4 linked regions of the Oreochromis niloticus genome follow. The protein of the gene in region 1 interacts with the protein of each later gene in a biochemical or structural test. Links are inferred from orthologs where the notes say so. Each region holds a gene or a part of one and is shown in the gene's direction. Other genes may lie near its edges.

Region 1 (7,399 bases):
GCTCTCCACTCCGCTCTGCGTCACCTGGAGAATCCTGGGACATCAGTAAGGATGCTCTTCGTTGATTTCAGCTCGGCCTTCAATACTATCATCCCAGACATTCTTATAGACAAGCTGGTAAACTTGGACTTCCCCCCCCTCCACATGTGCATGGATCAAAAACTTCCTCAATTGCAATTATTTTGGTCCCAGTCTGTTTCAATGTTTCCTACACATACACCATGTATATAGTTCCACTCACATATGTATACATATACACTGCTTGTTATTCTATTCTATTCTATTTATTTATTTATTTTTATTTTTTCAGCCTTATTGTATATTGGTTTCTCTTCTTCTTATTTTAGCACCTTTGTGGTCCAGCTACCCAATTTCGCTGTGCAAGAAACTGCACAATGACAATAAAAAGCTCTAAGTCTCTAAGTCTAAGTCTAAGTCTAAAATGCGTGTGTAACAGAAAGAGAGAGACATATGCACGTTATAAATGTTTTTAAACATTTTTAATAGATAGATGACATATTTAAAGGATGTAAAGGATGTATGTTTACATACAGTGAATGCTATGCAAATGTGTTGCTACCGCATTTTTAGTCTATTTGTTGGAGTGCAACCAAACCGAACAAAAACTACTGAAGCTTTTAAGCAGACGTGTTAAGTGACAAAACCACTAGTAAACAGCTCGTTCTTCACACAGTAGGTCACCTCTGGGAGGCTGTGATGGGTTGTGGGTGGTACTATATCACTGTGGCTAACCACCTGGCACCAGGAGCCCTTTGTTACAACCACAGGCCCCCTTTATTCAACCCATCCCTTCCTCAGGAAATCAATCATTTAGCCTGAAAAGTGGTTCCATGTCATTTTCAGAACACTTAAGGTTTTTATTTTCTTGGAATAATTCATGTTCATTGTTTTTATTGGCTGTTAAATCTACATTAAATTGCTGAAAATACAGCAATTTGGGGTGTAATGGCTTAGGGGGGAAGTTAGTTTGGCGTCTGTCCCACTTTGTCTCCATCTGTGTTGGATTACAATTAGCTTTCAAGTCTCGTTAAGGAAAATCACAAACAAAGACACACATTACATATAGAGAACACAATCTACTACAGATGAATCGGTCAGAAGTTACATCAGGTCATGTTACACCACAAGACTCTTATCTCCTTGAAATTCTTATAAATTACTATGAAACTGACCGATTAAGGCATTCTTCCTCTTTCGTGTTAAGTGATGAAAAAAAAATGTTCTTATTTTGTTTGTCCTTATTTACATTGTGCCATAAATGGTAAGGTATTTGTAAACCATGTAGAGTAATTGTAGCATCTGCACAAACCACTGTTTTAAACATTTTAGTTTGCTGTCTTAATGTGTGGGTAGATGTTTTTATAATTCCTGGAGCTCGGATGCTCCAAATCCACAATCAGGGTATCGAGTGTCACATAAAATGAATACGAGAAGGTTTCTCGGTGAAGTGTATGGGACACAGTTCACAGTTACTGATTTTCCCTGGCAGCAAACCTGAGATAGAGTGAAAAAGACGACTGTGCAAAACTTAATTTTATTTGCTTTTTAAAATAATCTGGGGCACTCTGTGCTGAGAGCAACCATCAGTTACAAAATTTTACTTTTAACTGATGGTTACAAATGTTATTACATTTTAGCAAATATTAAAGAATACAAAATATGACTTTGCACACATCAAAACTTACTTGCTATCAACTAGATATTACATTTTTCACTTGCCATGTTTTTTGTAAATATTAACCATGTACCTAAATTTTCTCTGACTTCCAGTGTTAGTAATTCAATAGTCAAGAAGTAATTTTAACAAGCTGAGGATACAGCTGTTTCTAAGCCCAGACAGACTTGCCTTAGTAAATGTAACTCATATAACAACTTGTTATAGCCAAGGTATGGTGAAGAACATCTCTGAACAGACAGCATGTCCATTCTGGAAGCAGATGGGCTACAGACTTTTCTGTCAACAACAACAAAGCATGGATCCATACCACCTTATATAAAGGTTGTATCAAGGGCTAGTGGTTATATATATAGTGTGATGATATTAGTACCACCCAAACATCATTTAAATGCCACACCTTACTGAGTTTTGCTGCTGACCATGCACAGTCCTTTAAGTGTGTACCCAGCTCCTGCTGGGTCTGTCCACAATGATAATATACTATGTCACAAAGGTCAGATGATCTCAAAAGTGACATGACAACAAGCTCTCTGTACTCAAATGGCCTCCACAGGCATCAGATCTCAGTCCAACAGAACACCTTTGGGATGTGGTCGAGATTCTCATCATTGATATGCAGCCAACAAATCTGAAGCAACTGTGTGGTGCTATCATGTCAGTATGGACCAAAATCTCCGAGGAACATTTCCAGCACCTTGTTGAATCCATGAACAATTGAGACAGTTGAGTTCTGACCACAAATTTGTCCAGTAAGTAGCTTAAGTTATTTAGCTTAGCTTGAGGCTAAGCTAGCTAGTGGCAAGCTTGGTTAAACGTTTCAAGAAAAAGTTTCAAGAATGGGATTTAGACAATAAAATATATAAAAGATCAATTCAACCATTTATATTTTTAAACATATATTTGTGTATTTGGTATGACAGTTGGCTTTAAAACACAGAGTACAGCTGAAACCGACTGCTGAAAGAAACAGTAATAATATATTACTGAAATCTACATTCAAGCCACTATCACAGGCTGTGCTTACATGACTAAATGTAGCTAAATAACTCAACAAAATTCTTTCATTACAAGTTCCATTGGTTCATTAAGCCTTTTTGTATTATCCTCACTACAGCAGAGGTAGCAGCATCGTAATATGTTAGTTTAAACAGGAACAATTTTTATAAACACTTCCAATCTGATAAGTGAGCCATACCCACCTAAAGCTCACGTCAGAAAAAAACAGATATATTTTACCAAGTAACTCAAGGGGATGTTTGGTTTCTATATTAAGGGTCGGTTTTCACATTACTCCATGCAAAAACAACAGGTGATTAAACAGAAAAAAAAACATCATTGGTATACTCTGGAAACTCTGAAGTGCATCTTCTCCAAATATAACACCCGTTATATCAACAATGATGTTGCAAAGTCAGAACATCTGAAACACTGAGATGAACACTTTAACAGACGTCAACAAGCTGATTTTAACTGATCTAAAAATATCCAACTTTACGATAGTAGGCCTGCCCCGACTGGAGCAACCCAAAAATACTAAAACCTGTAGTCTTATTGATATTAACTGTTTTTAAATGATCTATATATTCTGTTTTGTTCTGTGATTAAACTGGGCCCTGTATTGCTATTAATTATTTTGTTGTAATTATTCTTAGTTTAGTTTTGTCGCTTTATGTCTGTAAAAGGCGCTTTATGTATAAATATTACTTTTTCTGTAATTTTTTTACTGCACAGAATCTGAGCATCTGGATTTGATTAAAGCTCTACAAGGGCAAGATCCAGACAGAAAAGAAACCAATGAAACTAAAGAGGGGCAGCCAAGAAGGAGACATGCAGTAGGTTAATATGAGCTGTCAGGTCGTGATGCAGATGAGAGGGGAGAGTCAAGCAGTTTGGGAAGTTTGATTCTACAATAATGCTGCTGTACCCTTAGCAGTGATATCATATATACATTCATGCAGTGGTTCAGTGTTTACTGCCTCACAACAAGAATGTCCTGTATTTGAAACCGGGTCGTTCTTCTTGTGTCAGCGTGGGTTTCTCCCACACTCCAAAGACATGCACAGAGTTAAGTTAATCAGCAATTCTAAATAGAGCGCAGGTGTGAATGTGAATGTAATAGCCCTGACAGATCCAGGTGTACTTATTTCTTGAATTATGACAGCTGGGATGGCCTCGCCCACAAGAAAAGATGGCCATTGTTTTTGAAAGCATTTGATCAGCAAGATTATTTTCCAGAAAGATGAGCAAGGTCACATTCTTCCTCGATGACCCCGTATTTCATTTTTCTAGTTAAAGAGAGACACTGAAGTGACCTTTGTGGGTATGACTGTTTGGACGCCACATTGCTACTGTAGAAAGACACAAATGATGCCACATTATTAATGTACATGACGGAATATGATTTAAGAGTTACGATAATTCGTCACTTAAACATTTAAACTAACTTTTAAACTAAAATAATCAATTTTTTAAAAATGTAATAAGTTTTTTTTTCTATTGATGTAGTATTTGTTTCTAAATTGAGTGACTTTCTACAATTATGATATGGGTTTCTTAATTTAATTTGGGGGAATTAAAGAAAATTTCCGTTTAGTCGTGATTAAACTCATAATGTATGGTTTAAAAGTGCATAAACCTACCAGCAGGACATAATCCGAGGACTTTCCCTACAAGTGGGCGGGTCTGTTTCTTCGTCAGGTTAACAGGAAATATCAGTATCAGGAAGTTGAGTGTTTGGAGATTTGTTGTGTCGCCAAATGTGCTGCAGTAGTTTTTATTAAAGTTTTACTCATTGAAAGCTCGGATACACACAGTAAACCTGCCGTTTAAACACAAAAAAGGCGTGAAAACGCGTGAACGCTGCGTGTGGAGTCTAAGGTAGGACTTAGGAGTTGAAATGTTGACGCTTTTCTCCTTGAAAATAAAACCCGAAGACTAGTTCCAGCTCATTTTATATGAACAAAGAAGTACAAAAGAAAAGTACATTTTTGTGTGTCGGTGAATAATATTTTTATAATGAGTAAAAGGTTGGCGGTATATTTACTGTAAGTCAGTCTATGAAGCTTAAAACGAAACCCCTCAAGCATGTAGCGCCCCTGTAGTGTTTAATGGGCCTCTTAATAGTCTGCGACTATATGACAGCTAGTTTTCTTTATATACACGTAGCGGGCTTTTTTTTAATAAGCTGGACTCGCCTATAGGAATGTTTATATGTATGTTTAGTCTCTTTTATTGCAGCTGCTGTAAAACATAAACTCAGTGTTTATGTAGTTTCACAGTTTGGAGAGCTTTTATCTCATCCATCAGACCCCTACAGTCACATTTATAACAATACTGATAATACAATAAATTCCCAATTAGATTTTTTTTTTTCATTTTTTATAATAGGTTAATTAGCTTATGGGAATTCATACAGCTTTTTGTTACTTTTTTTTGCTTTCTAGAAGCCACCAACACTGTTGTTTCTGTTTCTGTATACACGTGTTATCACCTACAGGACAAACACAGCATTTCTTTTCTTACTTTCCCTGACCAATAGGCAAGTTACTCATTTTTACCAAATTAATGTTTTACTCTTGGACATTTTACTCTTACTCTTTGGACATTCGCTGCTTTTTCTCTCATTTTTAGTCTAGTCCTTGTACCTGATCATTTTCAGGGGAATGTTTGGTTTGTTAAGCCACTTAACAGTGGCCTATGAATCATTCAAAAAGGCACCTAACCCAGAAATGAGCCAGTGTTTTGTTTACATATAACATAGCAAAGAACTAACTTAAAATTGTATATTCAGACGCTAAAGGTCTTTTGCAAAAACACATTTGTTCCCATTCCTTTAGATGAATTTACAAACAAAACAAAAACAAGGGCATAAATGTTGGGGATAAAATGTTTATATAATGTTTTTGCATCAACCAAGTGATTCCCAAACACCGATCAGTCAAACGGTTGGCATATTCTGGCATAGTGTGCAGTGTGTTTGAGGAAACTGGACAAGTGGAAGGCAAAAGATGAAGTTGCAAGACTAAAACTCATGTTCTTAGAAATGGGAAATAGTCCAGCAAAGACCTGACACAGAAGCTGCGAGATGCATCCTGACCTTCAGTCGATCCACCTAATGTTCACTGACGCCTCATCAGAAATGGTCTCAGTGGAAGCGTGGCTATTCTTAAGGAAGGGAAATGGGGAGAAAAGGCCAACACGAGAACTGAACTGAAAAGTTAGTGGCAACAGCTCTGACGGAGTGATGAACCAGACCTGAAAATTCTAGTTCCAGTCGTCGTATTGAGTGTCTACAGCCATCTATAAAACACGGTGGAGAGTCAGTCATGGTTCTGGGCTGCATTTAATGGAATTATGAACACAGACAAGTACTGTCAGACTTTGAGCCATCACACTGTACCATCTGGAAAGAATCTAATTGTCTATGGCTTCGTTTCTTTCAGTAATCCCAAACAGTGCTAATGCAGGAAAGACAGACCTGGGTAGAAAAACACAAGATAGGAAGCTTTCAAGATTGTTAGAATCGTAGAAACTGTTATGTTATTTTGTATCTCTATGTGTGTTTGCATGTTTCAATCAATCAATGCACCTATTATCAGTTTTGCTAGCAAAATATAAAAGGTTGACTCAAGACCTTTGCATGTTCCTGTACAAACCAGAAAACACTGTAGGTCTCAGAGCTGAGAAGCTTGAAACAAGGCTTTTTTTAGGCATTCGTTCAAGACGAAGCAGTTAGTTATTTGCTTGAGTACTGGTTGCATGCTCAGACAAATGCATACTCCCATGACATTTTTCAGGACAAACGCAACATTTTAGCCTTAGTAATGGGTCATGACGGATCCACTATTTTTGTTGTTTTAGGTGTAGGTGAGGAGGTCATGAATCGAGTACCCCTGCAGCAGCCGCAGAGCTGCGGGCCCTGGGAGCTGAAGGAGCGGCTCGGCACCGGGGGCTTTGGGAATGTCACAAGATGGCAAAACAAGGTATTCACTCCACATACTTCTAGCATATTGTTACATCTTTGAGAATCTTATATCTTTAGGACATAATAGACAGGAAAGAGGATGTTTGAATAACAAACTATTACACTGACAAGATAATTCAACATGTCCTGCTGGAGTTTCCGGGAAGCCATCGGCTCTTACCACTGCTGATCAAATTTTAAAGTTAAGGTTTTGTTTAGATGCAAATAGTCATTTTAAAATGGAATCAAAAATGAAACTTCACTTGTGTGTTTCCCTCTTTGTGTTTAGTAAAACTTTAAAATGAGGAAAACTTCCTCAACCTGCTGAGGCAAATCTTCCTTGTTCCTCCTACAGCGAAAGCTCATGTAAACAGTATAATGACCGTGGAGGTGGATTAGCTGTAGGGTACAAATTAAACTCATCTTTTAGCTAATGTTTGTTTGTATTTCACTAAGATGACACTCGTGGAATTGTGTGAAAGAATGTATAAACAGCTCTCACTGGATTATTTTGATACTACAGAACTCTTGAGGATAAAAATATTAGGTCCCCTATGAAATTCTAAGTATTTTAGTTTTTAAAAGAGTAAGTAATTTTTAAACTTGCTAGTTTTCTTCAGAAAGCATAATTTATTTCTATTTGAACAAAACAACTATTATTTCATTAAAAAAAACAATTTATCATGGTCCATATTGTTACCACCCTGAAAAACGTTTTAGCAAGCCATAGCACAAAC
Region 2 (7,413 bases), on another chromosome or scaffold:
TGCAAGTAAGTGCAGCAGCAGCACGGACTTGCTGCCAGCTAAGATCAAAAAGTGGATGCTACATTTTAAAGTAAAGGTTACTATCAAAGTCTCAGTGAGTCAGATTTCTACTTCATGTTAGCAACTGTTGCTTCCTTTAGAGCATCAACAAAATCCCCTAATATGCAAGGTTTCATTAGACTGCCAAGGAATATAATGCACACTAGCAATATTTATTTGAATTGGATCATTTTTATGTTTTTTTAATTTGAAGAAAGGATGAAATCTTTGCAGACCCCTCTGTCTGCATGTTCATGGGTTTCAAAAAGCTGTTCAACTTTTGTGTTTCAAGATGGCAACATTGTAGGATGTATTCAAGACCTTTACCTCTGCAAAAAAAACAAAAAAAGTCCTGCATTGAAGAAGTTGCTCAATTAAAAGTAAGTAACCATCATGTTTGTAGAGGCTAAAAGTGTCAATCTGACATCTACTTTTTTAGTAAGTTATTGTTGCAGATGCATTTATTTGTCAGCAATATTTTACTGCTGTAGCCAATCAGGTTAGAGCTTACTGCACTGCATACTGCAAGTACTTTCATATCATTTTATTTTATCAATGCAAAATATTTGTGTCCTTAGATTTTTTGAAAAGCATTGTACATATCTAAATTATTATTATATTTATTGCTTTAATTGTTTTTAAAAGACCCCTCGTATGTTAATTATTTAAAGAAAATATTAACAATAAATGTAGCGAAGAAAAGTGTCAAAATAAATGAAAATATGGTACTGTGCAATAATCTTGAGTCCCCCTGAATTTTTATATTTTGCTTCCAAGGAAAGGCTAAACTTGTGTGTAATATTTTAAAAGCAGTCTTAAGCAATAGCTCTCCAGACTTTCTGCAGATCTTTCAAAGGTTTTTTGATTTGTTGTTGTTTTGTTTTTTTACTTTTTTCACTCATTTTCAGTCCAGTCCTTGTACCTGTCTATTTTAAGAAAAGAATATTTGGGGGGGTTGTTGTTTTTTTAAGCACTGACCTATGAATTATTCAACTATAGAGGGATGAAGCAGTGTTCTGTCTACACATAACAGACAACTTAACAAAGACCCCATTATAAAATGCATCTCCTGGAACTTTGCTACTAGCAGCCTGTCACAAAAACACATTTGTTCCTATTCTATATATTTAAAAAAAATGCTAACAATAACAAAGCTTGACAGACATAAAATTGTATTTTTGCACCAACAATGGGATTCCCAAAGAACTATTAGCCAAAAACTTGCCCCATCTCTGCATGGTGTGCAGCATGTCCTCAAAAAATGTAACTAAACTGAAAAACTATTCAGTTTTGAGAAGAATGTTATAAAAGTATGCACTACTGTGGAATCCTTTGACCTTTTCTTGACAGACATAAATCCTTCCAGACGTTATGAGGAAATGCGGACTGCATAAATAGCAGTACAGCGGTCAGGTGGTTTTATTAAAGTATCATCTGCTGGTCTAATATAGGTCATTTAATGAGGGAAAAGTTCAGCATTGATATGAGACAATAGTGGTGGCGGTGGTGACTAAAAGAGGATTGCTCATACTGGTGATTTGAAACAGCGGAGTGGGCCAGTTGTCCCTTCTGGGGTTTTCCATGTGCTGATGACTATGCTGCTTAGCTTTCACCACTTCCACAGCCGGCTAGTATTGATTATTGACTTCCAGCCAATGACTCAGCCAGCATGTGACTCAGTAAGGAACTTTTAAAAAGTTTGGAAACTGAAATCTTTAGCTTTATCTACAATAGCCCCCTCAGCAGCATTCAGTCAAAACAGACCAGAGTTAGATGGGTTTTTCTTAAGTGCCCACTTACTCAATCAAAGGCATTTTTGAGGTCAGTCAAAGTGACTTTATAGATGTTCATTTTGACAGCCGGTGCGTGCAAAGCATTACCTCAGGGGCAACGGCTTGAAACTTCGAAAGGTAAGACTGATTCACAGAGCTCATTCCTCGTGAATGCTGTCAGGTGTTTGTTTTTTTTAACAGTTTCTTTCCCCGAGTAGGTAGAAAACTGAAATGTAGTTTCTACTGTTGGGGCAGCTCAACACAGCAGTAGGAGTCTTTCCACAGGTAGGAGAAAGGAAATAGAAAGTGAGGACCAGCACAGGATAACAACAGCAAGATTAAGACGAACTATCTTCTTTCACAGCGGTAAAGTGGATATTTGTCCACAGTGGAAAAATATAGAATAAAGTTTTACCTCAGCTTCAGGGCTACTCTACATTTACGGGAATCCTGCCCTTATACCCTTATATAATAAACAATAAACATGTTTGTCAGGATGTCAAATTCTTGTTAACGCTACTTTCACTTACTGTGACTCTGGCTGGATTAATCCTCTTTTGAAATCTTTCTGGTCTTTCTAATGGTTGATTCAGCACTGAAAAGATGAGATTATAAATTATCTATCACTTAACTGAGAACAAATTTACAGACTGACATTAATTTGCGACAGTTCTGTCGTAACTGTGCTCTGCTTCTCGGCCCGTGACAGCTGGGATTTGGACCGAATACTCGTATTTGCACGTCGTGCAAAAAATACTATTTGTACTTGGTTATTTTTTCTGATTTATCTATTTTATGACACTGAAAATTAGGGGTGGGAATCACAGATTGGGTCATGGCACATTACTCTAATCTTAAGTGGCCCAGGACAGCGCCATACGCGACACAGTTTAAATGTGCATGTGAAAAAAAGTATATTTTATATTTGTGTCTCTGTGTGTGTGATCCATATTTTTAAACACAACAAAACAAAATCCCAAATATATTAATTGAATATAAGCAATTCTGATTTTATGCTTCAAAAGGAGTAGAGAGAAGTATAAACGTATACAATCCTACCGCTCCTTCCTGTCTAATGACTTAGTCAACTTCAGTTTTCCTTTAATTTATAAATGCAAGAAGTCAAGAAGACTTTAACTTAAACTGACAAGTTAATCAAAAATGAAATCAGGGGGTGTATGCATGTTTTAATAAAAAAAAAAAAAAAAAAAATTGGCCCCGGTGTGTTTTATAGTAAGTCGATGCAAAGCAATATGTCGCTCTTTAACTATTTGGTCCCAGTAGTACTGCAACTTGAATTTATGTTTTGTTTTTGATTGACTTAAGGAAATCAAACTATCTAAAAACTTTGCTTTTGTAACCTGAAGCATGCGGGCTTTTCCAACCTTTGTATTTCACCTCCTCCTGCTAAATGCTAAACTGAAACTTTATTTGTGTTGGAACACACCCATCACACAAAGGCTAAAAATATTTGTCTCTTTATGTCATCTAAATGTGTCACACCTCTTTTTCGCGTGCATTATGCTATCACATGCAACTCCAGCAAGTTGCATGTGTTAGCATAATGCATAATTTAAGCAAACGCTACACTTGGAAATAAAACATAAAGCTCTGACTACTTTTCCGTTGCAGCTTCTGAATGGTAGACCGCAGTAAAACAGTTAAGCATGCTCTGCCACATACTAGAAGCTCAGACAAGATAATAAAACTTGTCAACCACAACAAACCACAGGTGCACAAAAGACTTGTGACTTGACTGTTGTAATGATTTAGCCGCCTTGACAGCCACAGTCAGGTGGGTTGCTGGATGATGGAAGATGCACACTTTTCTTGGTACACTCGAGCAAAGATCATCTGTTGATGTTTAGTATTGAACTCACATGAAAATGAGAGGCACAATTTCACCAAGTGTCAGTTTACGTTTCCATTAGGTGGAGACATATGGAGGGAGGTTAAGAGGCTTCCTTTAAAAGGAAACCTATTTTTGTTTTGTGATTTCGGTGGGAAGAGCTAGAAACTTTTGCCAAAATAAAAGAAAACTTCACTTTACATAAACATTGAGCCAACTTACTAATGTAGTGAATGAACCAGCGGGTTAGCAAAGAGCTCACATCTGCTTCTTAAATATCTTTGAGCAAGACAGGAATCCGAAGGAACCTGAAAGTCTTTAATTATATTTAGATGATTTGCTAACAATTAAAGCACCATCGCATCATTGCTGCAATAGCTAGTCATCAGACCATGAATACACATACGTATCAGTGCATGCAGTCAGCAACTCAAATCCATTTTACAACCAGGTAATGAGATTCGTTTTCCTTACTCATTTGCTGATACTGAAGGTTAATGATTTATTTTTTTAAGGCTGTCTCATGAAATAGAGTATGACGCGAACTGCCTCCCTCCCTCAGTGACGCTCCTTTGTGCTCAGTAGGTGGGATATGCTTTTCAGTATCGAGTCAGACAGATAGTAAAGACTCCCCTGGTGGCAGTGAGCTGCAACTACAGCGGTTGTGTGTGTGAGTGTGTGTGTGAGTGAGTGAGTGAGTGAGTGAGAGAGAGAGAGAGAGAGAGGAAAATGGGTGGACGGAAAGTCCCCGTGTGGAAATCCCCTTTGACTTGGACTTTTTCCTTGTTTTAAAAAAACTATCATTATCGTACGTGTGTATTCTTTTGAAAGGCTTCGCAGGCTGCGAGGGCTCCAAAATAGATCTGATACTGAAAGAAAGAGAAGGTTGAATGGCGCCGAGGACCGCTGCGGTGAGGCTGAGTGAAGTGGCTGAGAGAGGACTAGCCTGAGCATCCGGGAGGCTTTGTTATTACCCCGACATATTACACAGGTAAGACGCCAGCCTTCCCTCCTTGTGCCTCCCCATGTGGACACACATTTCTTAGCAATTGGGTGAGACTTGGTGGGTAAGACCACGTTTGGGCCTTGAGTAATGTATGGTCGTGTTTCTGGGGACACGGAGGAAGCTTGAAGCCTGCTCACGACAGTGGCTTTGACAGCCATTGTTTACAAAGACGTCACCCTCGAGCGGATAGCAGGACATTTAAACAGCCAAATGTGGCATCGGCGAGGCTACACTGTATCGATACCCGCGCTGTTAGACGCGATTGAACGCTACATTGTTCCAAAGGTAGTTGTCATTGGAATTACGTAAGCCTTTAACGTCAGCAAAGTCTCCTGTTATTGTGTTTTTGTGTAGCCAGCCATCCTAAACCGCAGCGTCCACCCGGGTGCTGCTGTCTGTCTGCCTTAAAGTGTGCCCCGCTGTGACAGCACGCCACGCTAATGATTCGTGTCAACATGCTCCCTGACATCCAGGTGTCTGTTGTCTGGTCCCTCATGTGACTGACTAGCCCTTTAGCACGGCCTAGTCTGTTGTTGCACCTGCTGCTGTTTGGGTAGTAAAGGCACAGAGGCCACTAGAAGCTCGCTGTTCAGGTGTTTGTGGACTCGAACAGCATCTTCCGACCTGACTGGCAGCTTGCGAGAGGTTGATAGAAGGATGTTGTGGGAAGTTTAAAAGTCAGCAAAACTCCAGGCCCACTTGCTGACCATTACTTTCTACTTCCTCTAAACTGCTAATGCGTCTTCACTGTGTTGAAATGTGAGGGGAAGTAGTCCTTTAAAACCTTCCCTTTAGCAAACTTGACTCAAATAGAGTATTGGGTATAGAGGTTGTGCATTGAACCTCAGTACCTTTATACTTAAAGTATAAAAACTGCCAAAAGTTTCCCTAATTTTCCTAGCTTTCAAATTACTATAACAATTTGGGGAACGTAGCTGAATTAAAGTTGTATTTTATTTAGGGGAAATAATTCTGCAGCTGCTTTTGTTTTAAATGACTTCAGGGAGTGACGTAAACCCACGTTAGATTATCTTCCTCCTGTACTGAGAACAGTGTTTGTGTCTGTACTGAAAGCCTATAATTTTTCTAATGATTCCCAGCCTTTTAAACGGAGACTTTAAGCAGGCTGTTGAGGGAGGAGGCCTTGTGACCTTCCCATCAGCCTGGGAAGCCCTGGGTGGCCTTCAGTTAAGGTCTGGAAAGCACCCATTTATTGTTGGAAGTCTTTGAGCTCAGTGGGACACTAGGAAGCCCTGTTGAGGGAAACTCTCAAAAACCATCAAGACAAAAAGGAGAATTAAAAGAACAAACAAGAATACAAAGGGGTCTTTGTGTACTTTATTCAGTTGGGCCCAGCAGAATCTCCAGGAAAAAGCACCATACAGCCTCCACACTGGAATCATCCTTTGTGATGGGTAGTTTCCCAAACAAACTGTAAATTAAGTTGTGCCTTAAGTCTTAATTTGTAAGGAAGGGGACTCTCCACTGAAAATTTCCCACAAATCCCTGCTGTGAAATAACATGTCCTCTCCGCTTCTCTCCATCCAGTTTCCACGTTGATCCGGCATCGGTGGTTGGTGCCTCCTCCTCCTCTCCTCCTTGCTCCTCTTCCTCCCTTCCTTCCATTCACCTGGCCAGCCATCCGCCATGTCGCAGGGTCAGAACTTCCTCCCCAAATTCCTGTTTGTCTCCAACCTGCTCAAGGCAGTGAAGATCCGACAGCGAGTGCCTAACGATGTGGTGAAGCCTGCTGCCAGCGGTGGCCTCATGCACCACCTGCGGGGTATGCACCGGTACACGCTGGAGATGATCGCCATGAACCACTTCCCCCAGGCCTTCAGGGAGGTGGTTCAGGCCGCCATCCTGGACCGAGCCATGCAGGCCTCATTAGAGAAGGAGAAGAAGCTCAACTGGTGTGGGGAGCTGAAGAAGATGGTGCCCTTACGCACCAATGGTAAGAACGATTATGCTGATGTTGAGGAGCTGTACTGGAATATGGAGGCTACAGTAAACCAGATTTCTGTGGTGGTCTTATAAGTGGATGAAGCTCCACGAAGCTTTGTTGACGTTCAAGGATGTTTTATATTATTGGTTGTGTAGCAGAGGGCACCGTAAATAACTGCTGTTGGAGCAGTAGGTGACATTCAACACAAATAGAACAATTCAGCAGATTGGCCACAGAGCTAATGCTGAACCATTTCTCCTTGATTTTAGAAGCAAAACTTATTGCGCTCAACACAGGATGTGTTTTGCTTTTGTTTCATTTTCTATGAGAGAGATGGTGAGCTCTTATGAGTCAGGGCTATTTGATATGCAAATTCTGAGATGTCATTACTCACAGGCAGGGTTACTGTAAATGACAACAATCGAGGGACGCGAGTTCCGCTTTCACATAGACTCATTTAGCAGCCCCCTTGGTTTTACTGTGTCGACCTTAGTGTTTGACTTTAGGCACCCCAGTGCTAAGTCATGTTTTCTGTTACGTGAATGTTGTAAGACGGGAACATCCCAGGGCAGGCAAACATGTAAACTCGGGCCTGATTACTTCTGATCATAGTTGTGTACTGGGAAATTCTCTGGCGTCACATGCAGGACTGTTATTTACTGTCTGTGATGTTTCAGACCCAACTATTTCCACAGTTTTTCATTTACTGCATTTGGGGTATGCCCCCTCTTTTTCTGTGTAGGTGTGTGTTAGTGAATGTCAGTGGATGTTAAAAAAAACACACCGTTTTACCTTAAATTCC
Region 3 (6,977 bases), on another chromosome or scaffold:
AACAGCTCCCCTTTCACGCTGCATGACCGCTTATCCTCTTGTCTTTAAATTAAAAACAGACGCATACATGAAGAGAGAGCATTTTGTCTTCAAATTAAAAGCACAACTATAACTTACAGCCACACGCAAACATTGTGCTCAGTCCGAGCAACATTTAAACATACTGTTACAGTCAGTGATTAATAATAGCGCAATATGTCTTTGCATTCTGGCGCTAAATGTTGTTATTGTAAAAATTAAGGGAACCCAAACACTACTTCGAAATTCAAGCGGAAACAGGAAAGAAGCTACATGATGTCAAGATCGCCATCGGCCGACGCCTAGTTACGGGAAATACGGTAAGTGAAGAATATATAGTATTTATCATAAACGGTTTAACGAAGTTAAGAGCTTTCTGACTTCAGTGTTTCCCGCTGTTTGTCGAGAACTCGATTTCTTGATTTACATGTTTGACTGTTTAACGAATAGTTCAAACATTTTGGGCCCAAGTTTTATGTGAAATGGCGGTGAATGTGGCTAGAAGGAAGTTGGTGCGCGTGCACACAATAACAGCGCGTGTATACACATGAAATTACTGTTTAGTCAAATTATGTTCATTTTTAAATGAATCGCTAAATAGTTAAACATCAAAGGTGTTATCAAAGGTAAATTGTTATAGAGGCTTACTGTAGATTTTACTGTACAGAATATAATTACCGTCGTACTGCTCATACTTCTCAGTGGTACCCTCATTTTATTTTTTATTTTTTGTCACAAAGGCTGTACTAACTCTAAACATGAATAGGTTGATGTTCTTACCTGGTAAAAAAATTTTTTTAAGAGCATATTAGTGATAGAAAAAAAACTTGCTATATTTGTTATAGGAGTCCTCATAAGAATAGCCGTTATGTATGTTATTATATGTTGTCGCAATATATGCAGTCATATATCTTTTTATGCTCTTATCTGTTTCATTTAAACATTAGAGCCCCCATGTAATCTTGATAGAGCTAAACAATTACATCTACCAGATGTAATTGTTTACATTAGTCACTCTTGGCAGGTCCTATTTTTCAGGTCCAAGTTATGCTGGGCCTCCATACCGCAACAATGCTTGCTAGATCTTTCTTGGCCCAGAGTCAAACTCCTGGCCTGCATTTACAAGCGAATCAGCACTAGTCCAGGTCCACCCTTAAACGAAAAACCTTTTGTTCCTCCTGTGCAAATATCCTGTTCTCATTTTCTTTGCAAGATAGCAGGAAAGTGCAAATATGACTGTATTAAGATGAGCTCACTATATAGAAAATGTATAGAAAGATTGCAGCTTAGTAGAACATTATTATAATATACATGCTTTTAGAGTTGTTGACTTTGGCCATGTTTAGTAAACTTATGTTGAATAGCATTGGGAAATGGAGGGGAATGTTTTTCTTGAGGTGTCAAATACGCATTTCTAATATTGATTCATGAGAAAACTGTTTTCCGAATTAATTTTAATTTGTCAAAGAACCCAGTAATGTTTACAGAAAAACTAGGATAACATTAATAACAATGGCTTAGCTCAGAATTTTCCTGGGTTATTATTCTTTTAAAATGCCAGGAGTTTATAGAACATCTCAGTTTAATGGAAATAATGTGCAGCAAAGAGAGGACTATGCATTCTTACTGTAACTGACTGTTTCTTCATTGAAGTTAATATTGAGGAAGTAACTAGAAAAAGGGAAGTTGTTAGACATTAGACAAGGGGTATGACTGAGTACTTGGAGATGCATTTAAATGTGTGCCTGCAGATGTTTTTTGCAACCTTGTGGATGTGTAGTTGAGGACTGGAATGCTTTCCTGAGAAGCAGCCACCGGTTCTCTTAAGGAACTCTTGCCTGTGTATTCTGAGTCCCTTTTAGCTGTCGTTACTAAAGGCTTTGGAATTTCATTAATCTCTGTGAGAGAAACAGAGCAGCAGAAGCTGTACAGTCACCAACTGTATGTTTTGTTACAGTTTAGTTAAAGATGTCCACAGCAAAGATCATTATGGATTAAAGTTTATAGTGTGCACTATTAGTTACATGTTTATTAGATATGTGTAGACATTTAGGGTGCAAAACTCCTCTAAAACATAATTGTTTAGGTTTCTGATGACACTGACAGGGAAGTGTAGGTTCAGTTTGCATGTAAATCAAAAGACTTTAGTTTTGATTACTTGACCTGCAAAATTAATTTGCAGAATTTGATAATCAGTCATTGCCATTTCTCCAGTTAGTAAAATGCCATGCTTGTCAGTGCAGAAAGTTGGAATAGAAGTTAAAAAATGACCTTAGAGTTGCACAGACTTCCTTTGCAAAAAGTGAAATATTCTCAGGACTGCATGAGCAATATATGGCAATAGTGAAGATCATTGGAGATTCATTTCAGGTATAGGGTTTCTAGAAATGATGTTTGGAATATGGTCAGAATTGGTGGTGTGCCCAAAGCTGAGACGTATAGCCCTATTCTTATCTGTTTTACAGTAGTACCAGGGAGCTGTCTTTTGGTCTGTCTGTTTCCAGATTCATTCACAGCTTAAAACAATTTGACCACAAATGAATGTAAATGAATTTTTGGACAAAAACCCAAAACAAAGCAGAATTTATGTCAAGCTTTTAATAATATGAAGAGGCAATTAAAAACATGAAATTTAAAAATCAAAACCAGCAAATTGCAAAGCAAACCCCCCCCCCAAAAAAAAACACCAAAAAAAACAAAAAAAACAAAACAAAACAAAAACACTGGTCACTGTGGTATATTAAAAGAAACCTTAAAATCTTGAACCTTGAACTAGTAACTTTTGACTGTTTTTTTGTCACACAGTTAATCTGTTGCACATAATGTTGTGGCTAAACTGACTAAATATTTCAGCTCTAGACAGAATGAGTAAATGAGAAAATGATTGGCAGATGAACTGATAATTGGTACTAATTGTTGCCATTTTTATGAGTCATAATATGTGAAGTTGGTGACTAATAGAGTACCAAAAACAAAATTCAAAATGCTTTGACTGTCTACAATGTCTGTACCTGTGTCCTCAAGCTTATGTCGGTTTAGCAGAGATATTGTTGTCATGACAAACAGTTTCCTTATCAGTAGGGGTGGAGTGAGCAACTTACATTGAGCTTTTCGATTATGGCATGTACCAGAACCTGTCAAGTGGTGTTCCGAGTTTCCTGTAGTGGTTTTTGTATGACTAAGTTGTTTTTCTGCTCAAGAGAAAAGCAAGTGAGATTATTTCAGATAGAGCCATCAGATTATTGACAGCTCATACGCTTGCCTCAGTCTAAACACTGTTTTCGGAAATAATTTTTCGCAAGAAGATGCTCATAATGTGAGTTTTCACACTGCCACATTTTCATAAAGAAAGAAACTCTTTGTTGTTTTAACAACAGGACATATAGTGGAGAATGTGGGCGTGTGACATGACATGTGACGTGCTCTTGAATGTTGGCTTGCTACAGGGCACGCACTTATTAGAATATCAGAGCAAATGAAAGGCCACAAATCCCTTCACATTTAGTGGTGTGAATGTGTACAGAAAGTTGACTATCCATTCCGGGTGATTATCAGACTACCTGGTTTAATGTGCACACAGAATTGAAATTGTTTTTCACCCAGTAAAGAAACTTTTTTTAACTGATTTTTCGCTTTTAAACAAATTTGAATTCAGTGCTCGGCTGTACTAATCATATCCTTTGCTTCTTCCTCACTAAAACCTTGTATCTTGATAGTCTGCAAAGATTGAAAGGGTTTAGATATTACCACTACTCTCATCACAGTTCATAGTTCACTTTTTTTTTGTCATCATACCCATAAGCAAACCTGTTATCCTTTAATTGGTAGTACTCAAGAGGGCAGAGTAAGTAAACCAGCCCTGTTAGAGGGAGCAGAAGGAGGGGGGAATATGGGGAAGTGTAGATGCATTTCCCATAAGTCATAGTCAGCCAGCTCCTCCCCCCAGTTGGCTGAAAGCCAGCATCAGGAGAGCAGAAAGCAGAGCAGCAGCAACTGAGCCGAGTCGTTACTGAAAAGTCGAACATGAAGGCACGCAAACGGAGCACCTAGTTCGTGTCGATGACAGGTTATTCAGAACAAATACTTGAGAATGCAGTTCAGACTGGCATCTATTGGTATGTCTGCCCGCTACGTCGGCTCACACATACAGAGTCTGTTTTTGTGCCTGTTTGTTGCAGTGGGGTTTTCTCTATTTCCTTTCCACGTAAATTCATTGGGGTGTGGTGGTGCAGCGTCTTAAGACGGAAGTGACAGTTGAGTTGCTTCGCTCTAGATAATCTTGCGGTGCATGAAGTCTGCGTACAAGGTAGTATCATTAATAAACTCAAACAGCTTTAACGTAATTTTGATTATGTTTTGATCTTATTTTTTGCTGTATTCTTACTTGTATCTGTACTTTATTGGTGTTGTCAGCAGCAAAAACATGCAGCGTGCATGTGATTGTTTTAGTCAAGAATTTAGGCTTAATCTTTATGTGAGAAGCTACTAGTGTAATGGACAAACTGACGCAACTAATTGCAACTGTAGTGCTCTAAATGTAGTTCTCAGTTTGTGCCTTTTAAACTGCATGTAGTTTTCCTGTGTTGGTTTTACAGTCTTACCTGTTGTGCTGGTAATAACTTTTAAGGTGTGAACAGGCAGCCATGCAAATCTTTATTTCAAATTAGTCCAGGCTGTGCAGCCCAGGCATTGCCTAGGTTACTTCCTCTGACTGAAACAGAGTGCATGCACTGAGCGACAGAGTTTGCAACTGTGAAAACAAGGCCGGGGTTTAATTTCCTGTCTCATCTGCCCACCTCAAATTTCACAGTTTCAGTTCATCTGCGCTCCTAAACATGTGTGGCGCAGTAAAATATGTTAAACTTCAAACGAGCCATAATGAAGCAGATCAAATTATTTTTGCGTTTATGCATGGGTGTATATTTCTGTCATAAACCTTTCATCTTCAGTCAGATTTATGAGCTTTTCTGTTGTGCTCGATTACAGCAGGCAAATGGCACTGTGGAAAGTATTTGCAAAGTGCGCCATAGATGCAAACTAAGAACGAAAAATTAAGAAAAAATGAACAAAAACAAACAGCAAAATGCAATGCAACCTTTAACCTGAGATGTGTTTAGTTTTCAGTATCCATTTGTTCCCCTTTTTAGGTATCCTCACTCCCACGCTCACATTAGCAGATAAAAGTCCTTTGTTACATTTTGGAGAAATGGTTTATGCTTATACAAACTTCACAACATTTCTAAAGGTCACTCTTGATGAGTCGCAGCAAGCATCTGACTAACTGAATAAATATGACGCACTGTGAGCTCTGAAGTAACATGTTCATCAAAATCGAAAGCTCAGTTTATAAAGGAGCCAAATATGTTGCCCTCGACCAAAGACAAATTCACTAATTAATATTTAAATAATAATACTAAAAAGTTACTTTTAACTCTCTGGTTATAGCCACACAAACAACCCAGGCGTCTATAACTAAAACCAAATTGATTAACTCTTATTTAAGATTAAAGACAAAACATAAAGGCAGGATACAGTTGATAAGGAAAATCGTTATTTATCAGCTGCTTGTGTCTCTTGCAGATTTAGAAGATAACATGGCGGTGAGACAGAGGCTCTTCAACTCAACAGCGCCTTTCACTGGACCACCAAAAGCTGACCTGAAGGGGACATATCCATCATGCTCCAATGCAGAGCAGGAGACTGAGGAGGCACAAGAGGAGGGGAAGGATGGCAAAATGGGATTTACGCAAAAGTGGTCTGCTGATAAACTCACTAAACTCCTGACACATGGAACTGCAGAACAAGTGGAAGAAATGCAGTTCAAGACCTCAACCATTGTTGCTCAGGCAGAATGTAAATATATCTTATTTTTATAGTGTATCACATCAATGAACTTTCCTGTGAGCCAATTTTACATTAACACTGTGCTCTTTTAGGTGAAACCCAGGACTCCCAGGAGTTTAGCCCTTCCTGTTATGAACGATCCTTCCGTGCCTTCCCTAAATGCTTGACCACCAGGTAAGATCTTGGGGACATTCTCCGCATTATAAATTAAATTTCTGTTCAAGGGTCTGTGCTGAATTGTGTAAACATGCCTTAAATTCCTTTTGCTTTCTTCGAATTTCTTTTGAAGTCTTTCATCTGACCAAAACAATGTGGCGTGCCAAACAATGGCCACCATCCAGGAAGCAAGCACATCAATACTCTCCCCAAGAAAGAGTACCCATAGGAGACAGAAACGTAAGGGGAAGAGGAAGAAGCAGCAGAAGAAGAAGGACAAGCAGCGACAGAGACGTCGAATGCCTTCTGGAGTGCCTGAACAAGAAAGTGGAAGTTCTTTGATCCCGATCCTGGTGAGGTTACTCTTCACATCTCTCTGAGTCTGAATATTTAGTATACTGTGCTGTTAAAAGAATTTAAATCATCTTCAACAATAGGGTCCTAATCTCTAGAAGTCCCCATGTAAACATTACCCTTCCTAAATTGTGGAAGTGAAACATTGAATTCCAACAGCCCCGCCTCTTTTGGCCTTGAATTTTTAAGCCTAGAGCAAATTTGGAGGATGTAAACACCATCTTGTCTAAAAACTTTTTTTCTTCTTCTTCTTCTTGTAGGAGGACTCTTCTGTTGAAGAGAGAAGCGATCTCAGTACCTCTTGCTGTAGCAGCTTTGAAAGCTCAGAGGAAGACGACCGAAGGGCTTCTTTTTACAGCCAACAAGTTTACAACAAAGGCTCAAGCTGTTCCCCTTTGAACTGGCCAGTTTTGGGTAACCTCTCCAGTGTTCGGTCATATGAGCACAACAGCAGCTCGGACTCTCTTAGCAGTGTGGGAGACTGCTCACTGGCCCTTGCTGGGCTCAGGGGCTGTGTCAGTCAGGGGGATCCATGCTATGCAGGGCCATTTTTCAAAGAAGTGGAGAGGGAGACTAGGGAAGACGAAGATGAGTTCTCGGAAGCT
Region 4 (7,946 bases), on another chromosome or scaffold:
TCAGAGACAGAGAGCAAATTCTTGTGCTTCATCAATCCAGCTCTTCTAATAAACTCTAGGGTGAGCAATTGTTTGCCTGGAGAAGGGTCAAGGCTCACTCTCTATCACAGCACCACATGTTACCAGGTTACTGAGTGTAGTTCAGGAACAATGAAATGCAACAGCAGGCAAAAGAAGTGCTGAAGAGCAATAGCTGAATATGGCAGCAGATACCAGTATAATTAATTATGGTACTGATGGTATTGATTCTGAAAATTTATGAGACTTTCCAGGGGGATGTTATTGGCTGCCCACGTCTGCACGTGAACACTGTTTCATCATTATAAATCACACTGCTGCAAAACCAGTCGCCCAGGGCAAAGCATCTGTAAGCTAACATTATTCCTAGTGTACAGTTAGGAGCTGAGATCATTAACAACTTTCTAGAAGCAGGGCTCAAAAAAATAAACTTGCTTACTCTGACTTCAAAATTGTATCATTGGTCTTCTGATCAGAAACTGTAGAAGCCGCTGTCTCCTTTATGTCCTGAGAAGCCCTGCCATAGAAACAGACAGGACAGTGAAATTTGGCAGAGGAGCAATCTGATCTCATTTATATGGTAATGGATGAAACTACCAGTAATTCAAATCATTTTCCAGAAAAAAATGGATACTTCTTCACTCTGCACTCTTGCGCTGTCATCTCCTCTTTGTACTCAGGCTCTTGAGTGTGCCTGTCCTTCCTCCTCCTGTATCTCAAATCAAACTCATCCCCTCTGTCAGTGTTTAGCTCGTCTTCAGAGCTGTAGGGCTCGGCTCTGTGGATTTGCCAGCGTCTTCGCCGCCTCTGAACTTGATTCCCGATTTCTCCATCGTTGAACACCTCGGTCAGAGTGGAAGCATCTTTCCTCTCGTTGTGAATGGGGACTATGTTTGTGTGGGTATGCTTGTGATGGGATGACAGGGGGGAGGCAGGGGGAGAAATTTTCAAGCCATCTGAAGCCTGAATCTGTCCACGCTGAGAATGAAAATGTGAGGAAGAAATTCAATGTGAAAAAAGATTTACTTTGTAACAGAGTGCTTTTCATTATTTATCTTTCAAGTACTCAGTGAGCTGTAGCTACCTGATAAATGGAGGCATTTCTAGTGATAGAGAATCCTTTAAAGTGTGGTATAAAAATTGCATGGATTATTGCACCAAACACACTAGTGTTATTGTGCACGATCTGCCTATTGAGTCATCAATCTTCTTACCTTGGGACTGACAGAAGATGTTCTCCTCTTTAGCGTTCTGATTTGAGCTTGTTCTTGGAGGAAGAGGTTGTATTCTTTATTTCTCTCCTCTCTCAGTTTTTCCTGCAAGAGAAAACAAAAAGTCAGAGACAAGCAGCCACACCGCTCAGTTAAGCTCATATGACACTTATAATTTAAGAAAATACAAAACTCAAACAATACCATCTTCTATCCAAAGAAGATACATATTCTGCATGCACACATTCAAGATGAAGATGAGGTTAAGGTTATATTATTTCTGAAGGAGCTGGGAATCAAAACAATAAACCTATAAATAATTTCCAATAGGCATTATCACTCAGACTAAGCACTCTCATGATAGCTTAGATGGATGCTTCAAAATCCTACAATAATGGAGTTTTGGGGATTTTTTATTTTGCCTCAATATTTCAAAAATGCTTGCATCAATACTGATTAACATTCAGCTTGTCGTGCACATATAGACACCTGAAATTGCTCTTAACTTTTGTTTGTAAGTTCACGGTTTTATACAAAGAAAATCAGCTGCCATGAAGCGCGCAGCACTGTGCAGTCAGCAGTTTATATCAGTTCTAGCTGAAGAGCTAAAGCTCTACTTTGATGACCGAACGAATGCAGGCACACCTTTACAGATATCCTCTCATCAATCGGTAGTGACACTCCATGAAGTTGTTGTTGAGGCTGTCTACTTTTCAGATCCGTTTTCTGCAGGAAGAATAAGAGATTTGCTGTGTGTCGGCAAATGCAACACAGAGACAACTTAGTTAAACACAGACATAAACTCACCAGCCACTTTGTTAGGTACACCTGTTCAGCTGCTCATTAATACAAATACCAAATCAGCCAATCACATGGCGGCAGCTCATTGCATTTGGGCATGTAGACACGGTGAAGACGATCACCTGAAGCTCAAATCAAGCATCAGAATGGGGAAGGAAGGTAATCTAAGCAACTTGGCATGGTTGCCGGTGCCAGATGGACTGGTCTGAGTATTTCAGAAACTGCTGATCTACTGGGATTTTCCCACACAACCATCTCTGGAATTACAGAGAACAGTCTGAATCCAGGGAACAGTAGTTCTCTGGGTGAAAATGTCTTGTTGATGCCAAAGGTGAGATAAGGGAAGAATAGCAATGATTGCTTCAAACTCATAGGAAACAAACAGTAACTCAAATAACCCTTTGTTATAACCAAGGTATGCAGGAGAGCATCTGTGAACCTTGAAGTGGATAAGCTAAAGCAGATAGTGGTGGTGTAATGGTGTATGAGATGTTTTCTTGGCAAACTTTGGGCCCTTTAGTACCAACTGATGATACTACATATATACAGCCTACATGATTATTGTTGCTGACCATGGCAATCGTTGTGTGACCACAGTATATCCATCTTCCGATCGCTGATTTCAGCAGGAAAATACTCCACCATGTCATAAGCCAAAATCTTGTTCAATCTATGCCACTTAGATTGGCAAAATGGGTCTAATGTGGCGTTAGGAAGGTATACCTAATAAAGTGGCTGGTGAATGTATTTTCGTAACCATTTCTGATATGTCATTCCAGATAAAAACTTCTCGTGTTCCAGTCAATTTTAAGATTAACATTTAAGATTTATTAAGTCTTAAATGTAACACTAATGAAAAAGAAATGTCTAAAATGCACATTTAGGTGTTTTATTCCATTCTGTCAATTGGATATGTATGCAAATTAGCACGTGTTTAATCAGACACCAAATCTTTTAAATAATTCAGCACAGGCTTCAAAAAAATTGCAGTACATAAAATAATTATCTTTCTCATAATTTTCACTTCGGTGGCACTTACATTAAGCAAAGATTTCCAGTTTTATTTAACTTGATATTCTGACTTTAGATTAATTATTTTTCATATACTGTTTAGTCTACTATTTAACAATCTATTACAACAGTGAATGAAAATAACTCAGTAAAAGGTTTTTATTCTAATGCCTTTGTGTGGTGCTCTGTTGTTTATTTCTGTTTTTTTATATTGAGATCGCTTGTTTTGTTTTGGGTTTTTTTTGTTTTTTTTAAACATTTTTTTTAACTGTACAACTTTTACCTCACTAAGCCAGTTTGTCTTGGCATGTTTTTTTTTTTTTTTTTTTTAAATTTTATTTTTAATAAGCTATTCTGATTTATTTAAGACCTTTTCTTATAGGTTATATATAATATTATGCCTGATGTAACAGTAAATTCCTATTGTTTGGGCTAAATTAACTATATATTATATATTATTTTATGTTCAGATTTTAATTTTATTTATTTATTTATTTTGCGTCATCACACCCTGGATATATAGTTTCTGTAGTCCAGCTGGAGCTCCTGCTGAAGTTTCTGCTTCTTCCTTTCATACTCGGTACCCAGCAGATGACTTAAGCCAATACCTGGGAAATACGGCATATATAGAGTAGACTGTGCAATAAAAACAGGAAACTATTCACTAAACACTACAGGCTTAAATAATGCAGCCAATTCACTACTACAGCCTTGTACAGTACCTCTGTCGGGATTGGGGTTTACTCCTAGAGCTGCTGCTGAAGTCATATTTACAGCATTGTGTAATTTGCACCATCTGACCCTGACTGTGGAGAAAAACTCGCTGAAACACCGATTTGTTTATTAACAAGCAACATGTGATTAAAAGAATTGCTTTTTTTTTTTTTTTTTTACTCACCGGTTGATTAGTTTACGCCTATAAACGTTGCTTCGCAAGTCCTTGATCACATATGGCGGGGAGTTTTCTCTTCATGCTTCTCAAAAAAACGTCCCATCGTGATACACAATACACCCAATAAGGCAAACATTGGACTTACAATGGGGTATATAAACATGCGTGTCTATTTTAAGGCTCGGCTGTAACTCTGGCTAGACAAATAAGAAGCCCAAATAAGATGATATATATCAATAATTCTTAAATTTCCACACACAGCTCAAATCTATCCGACCGATCTTTGACAGCGAGCTAAGCCCAAAGCGTCATTCCGTTGCCATGGGCAACCATGACACAAACCTTCTCCTGGGAGAGGCTAGCAAACACATCTAACACAAACATTCAAGAAAATATATCTAATATAGTCCAAATATTAAGTCTTTAATAACTGCAATATTTAACACTAGGATCTGATTTGCTGTTTCTTTTTAATCGTCTTTAAACAACATAAAACCAGGCAAAGTTTATCAACAACATGTTAATAAACTTAACATACTGCTGTTGTCTAAAAATGATACCATCTAGCCTTAACCAGCAGCCCTTTCGGCTATTTAGTAGCTCTTTAACTTACTAGCTGCTGCCTTTTTCCAGAATAGTATTGCCTAATTAATGAATACTAGCTTTAGTTTTATTGACTCATTAAAAACCTCAGCTCCCAGTATAAGTACAATGCCGAGGCTCTAAGAAAAAAGCCCTCACAGATAGATGTAGGTACCTTTCTAAAAAGCGCCGCTAGATGTCAGTGCGTCCCCAGCGGTTAGTTTGACGTCGTCGCAGGACTAAACCATGGCTTCCGTCACAGGGGTAAATATATTTTAATAAGAGTAATAAATACGATAAAAATATGATCAGTGAATGTAATATCATCATATATCATTGTGTTGTAGTGTTAAGAGATGGCTTATAACAAATAAACGCATCAGTGGTAAATATGTGTAATATGAAGACGAACGTCCCCGTCGATTTCACTTTGTTGCGTTGGTATCGCTCACTGTCATGGCTCCTTGAGCGAGTGGCTATCTGCTCCTAAAACGATATCAAAATCTTTCGGGGAGAAATACAGCACTTCTTCCCTTATTTAAAGAAAAAATCGGGGTTTTTGACGGCTCGGGTTTTGCTTGGATACATTATTAACATGGCGGGGAGCAATACGGCTCAGAAAACATGGGAGCTGTCTAACAGCATGCAGGAAGTTCAGAGCATTGATGAAATTTACAAATATGACAAAAAGCAACAACAAGAAATCCTCGCTGCGAAGCCATGGACGAAAGAGTGGGTGCAAAACGACATTGTGGTATTTAGGTTTCTGTCTAAGTATTTAGGTGATTGCTGAGCTGGCGTATTCGTATTACATGTTGTTCGTTGATAGTTTATTGTTAGAACATTAGTGATAGCTTAGCTACAAACTAGCAAACCGGTCTTTATGTCAGTAGCAGTACAGCAAACTGGATGTGTATCTACAATATACGCATTGCTTAATATTATCTAACATCAATGCAAATACATTTGTCATTGTTCACCCTTTAGTCACCACTACTTCAAGTACTGCAAAATCTCAGCTTTGGCCCTGTTGAAGATGGTAATGCATGCCAGGTCTGGAGGAAACCTGGAGGTGATGGGCCTCATGCTGGGAAAGGTGGACGGTGAAACCATGATCATCATGGACAGCTTTGCTTTGCCCGTGGAGGGCACAGAGACCAGAGTCAACGCCCAGGCGGCAGCCTATGAATACATGGCTGCCTATATTGAAAATGCCAAACAGGTGGGACATTGACTTCCACACACATGAAGAGCATCGTGTTTGAGTTATGACTTAGAAAGAAGGAACCGAACTATAGCCTAGATAAAATCAGACTTGATTTCGCTTGAGACATTAACTTAATACTTTCTGTGAATGTCACTGGTTTACAACCATTACTTTTTCTTTTTTTTTTACTTAAAGAAGAGTGTTTCAGCTGATTTAGAACTGTTTTTTTTTTTTTTACTTAATATCAATATGATATTTACAAACTATAAAGGGATTATTTGAAGCCATTACTGTCTTTTTATAGTATTAATATTTTGACAGCCGTATATAACCACATTTGTCTGCCTTTTCCCATGCTGGGTATACGATCACTTACCTCTAACTCATTTTCAAGCACGTTATTGTAGTTAATGTTGCAACCCAAGAAGCAGGAATACAGTATGAATATATTATAAGGCTAATAGGATTTGCACTCTTTTATATTATCTAGAAATCATTGTAAATTTTTGTGTAAATTGTACTATGTAATGAGGTTTCTCCAGTCCCTGTTTAACATACTCTATCCAATACTCTAATGAATTCAAGTGACTACACAAATGTGGAGATTTTTCTTAAAAGAAAAAAGAAAGATAGGAAAATGCTACTTTAGATAAGGATAAAAACTGTAAACTGTGTCAAATACATTAATGTTATTGACATCTTACACTGTCATAAAGAAAATATGATTTTATATTATCTATAATTCCTCAGGTTGGCCGGCTGGAGAATGCGATAGGCTGGTACCACAGTCACCCGGGCTATGGATGCTGGCTGTCAGGCATAGATGTCAGCACCCAGATGCTCAACCAACAGTTTCAGGAGCCTTTTGTGGCTGTTGTGGTAAGATGGGAAATAGTAACCATTTTTATTTTGAAACTAATGGTTTTTGTATTTTTTTAACTGTGACTTCTATTTTCCCACTTTTCAAATGGAGCTTATCCCATATCCCACGTCCCATTAATGTGGGTGTAACTGAGAAGGGGGGAAGATTACTGATGGATGAGTTGTAGATTTGCACGTAGTACTGATGAATATTTTGCTATTACAACCACATATGCTATTTACACTTCATTTGGTTTAGCGGCGCTTAAATGCCAGAGGCATCATGTAATTAAGTGTGTATTTTCAGCACACTGACAGCCCCAGTAAAAAGGCTCCTGGTGGCCACATTTGAGTCGTCCCCAGAGGTTTGTGTGACCCCTGACTCTGTTTTCCTGTTCTACTGTATCTTGCTTCCTATAGATTGATCCCACTCGGACTATTTCTGCAGGGAAAGTCAACCTCGGTGCCTTCAGAACCTACCCGAAGGTAAAGCAAAGACTTTATATAGCAGCAGTCCTCTTTGGTCTTTACTAAAATCACAAAATATCTGCTTTTTTATTCTTCTTGTGCATAGCTATATTTGATCATTTTAGTAGTTTTTATATACTGATGTTATTGTTGTGTATTTATTAAGAATATATTTATAAATTTATTTTCAGTCACTCTGTATTCTTAATTCCTTATTACTGTAGTAATTGCTAGGTTCTTAGTATTTCCTTTTTGGATTTTTAGGGTTACAAACCCCCTGATGAGGGACCCTCAGAATATCAGACTATCCCCCTGAACAAGATTGAAGACTTTGGTGTACACTGTAAACAGTGAGTATTTATATTTGCTACAGTATTGTACCGGATCAAATACTTGTGTAGCATGTACTGTATCACACATTTTTCACTGTTTACTTTATTTTCAGTACTTGCATATGCGCTTCTTTTTTCTCTGTCTCTCTCCTTTTTAGGTATTACGCTTTGGAGGTTACTTACTTTAAGTCCTCCCTTGATAGAAAGCTCCTGGAACTCCTTTGGAATAAATATTGGGTTAATACCTTAAGTTCTTCAAGTCTCCTCACGGTATGTAGGGCATTTCAAAAATCAAAATGTTTGCTATTTGTTTGACATTTTGATTTATGGTTAATTATTACTCTATAACTCATTTAGACATGTGGTCACCAGCTTGTGATGTCATGATTTATTGCTGCTTATTAGCTAAGCGTCCGTGTTTGTTGATTTTAGTAATAAGCTGTACGTGAACTTTTTTCACAATGGAGATAAGTATTAAAGCTGGAGCCGACTCCATGATGCTCCTTTTCCCCCTTGCTGTTCGTTCGAAAGCCTGAAAGCCCCTCATGTAAATTTGCATTGAG

Evidence for each region.
Region 2: of the proteins of ikbkb (region 1) and tnfaip3, one has a biochemical effect on the other in vitro, tested with the Homo sapiens proteins (2 studies listed by BioGRID and IntAct). The link is inferred for Oreochromis niloticus from reciprocal best matches to the Homo sapiens genes IKBKB and TNFAIP3.
Region 3: of the proteins of ikbkb (region 1) and map3k14a, one has a biochemical effect on the other in vitro, tested with the Homo sapiens proteins (3 studies listed by BioGRID and IntAct, with this or other methods). The link is inferred for Oreochromis niloticus from reciprocal best matches to the Homo sapiens genes IKBKB and MAP3K14.
Region 4: of the proteins of ikbkb (region 1) and cops5, one has a biochemical effect on the other in vitro, tested with the Homo sapiens proteins (2 studies listed by BioGRID). The link is inferred for Oreochromis niloticus from reciprocal best matches to the Homo sapiens genes IKBKB and COPS5.

The regions. Positions count from the first base shown.
Region 1 is NC_031977.2:25,966,306-25,973,704, reverse strand, and holds the start of ikbkb (inhibitor of nuclear factor kappa-B kinase subunit beta), read left to right. Parts: upstream 1-4,395; 5' UTR 4,396-4,576; intron 4,577-6,559; 5' UTR 6,560-6,576; coding exon 6,577-6,681; intron 6,682-7,399.
Region 2 is NC_031978.2:11,429,209-11,436,621, forward strand, and holds the start of tnfaip3 (tumor necrosis factor alpha-induced protein 3), read left to right. Parts: upstream 1-4,391; 5' UTR 4,392-4,651; intron 4,652-4,744; exon of another isoform or gene 4,745-4,951; intron 4,952-6,214; 5' UTR 6,215-6,313; coding exon 6,314-6,620; intron 6,621-7,413. UniProt on the Homo sapiens protein: Ubiquitin-editing enzyme that contains both ubiquitin ligase and deubiquitinase activities.
Region 3 is NC_031969.2:25,786,130-25,793,106, reverse strand, and holds the start of map3k14a (mitogen-activated protein kinase kinase kinase 14), read left to right. Parts: upstream 1-3,966; 5' UTR 3,967-4,108; coding exon 4,109-4,133; intron 4,134-4,196; exon of another isoform or gene 4,197-4,324; intron 4,325-5,598; coding exon 5,599-5,871; intron 5,872-5,954; coding exon 5,955-6,036; intron 6,037-6,151; coding exon 6,152-6,371; intron 6,372-6,632; coding exon 6,633-6,977.
Region 4 is NC_031974.2:19,440,070-19,448,015, reverse strand, and holds the start of cops5 (COP9 signalosome complex subunit 5), read left to right. Parts: upstream 1-4,934; 5' UTR 4,935-5,110; coding exon 5,111-5,247; intron 5,248-5,502; coding exon 5,503-5,737; intron 5,738-6,472; coding exon 6,473-6,601; intron 6,602-7,003; coding exon 7,004-7,069; intron 7,070-7,315; coding exon 7,316-7,401; intron 7,402-7,541; coding exon 7,542-7,653; intron 7,654-7,946. Other genes in the region: cspp1a (centrosome and spindle pole-associated protein 1), read right to left, coding at 458-535, 653-996, 1,233-1,334, 1,875-1,955, 3,552-3,649, 3,764-3,809. UniProt on the Homo sapiens protein: Probable protease subunit of the COP9 signalosome complex (CSN), a complex involved in various cellular and developmental processes.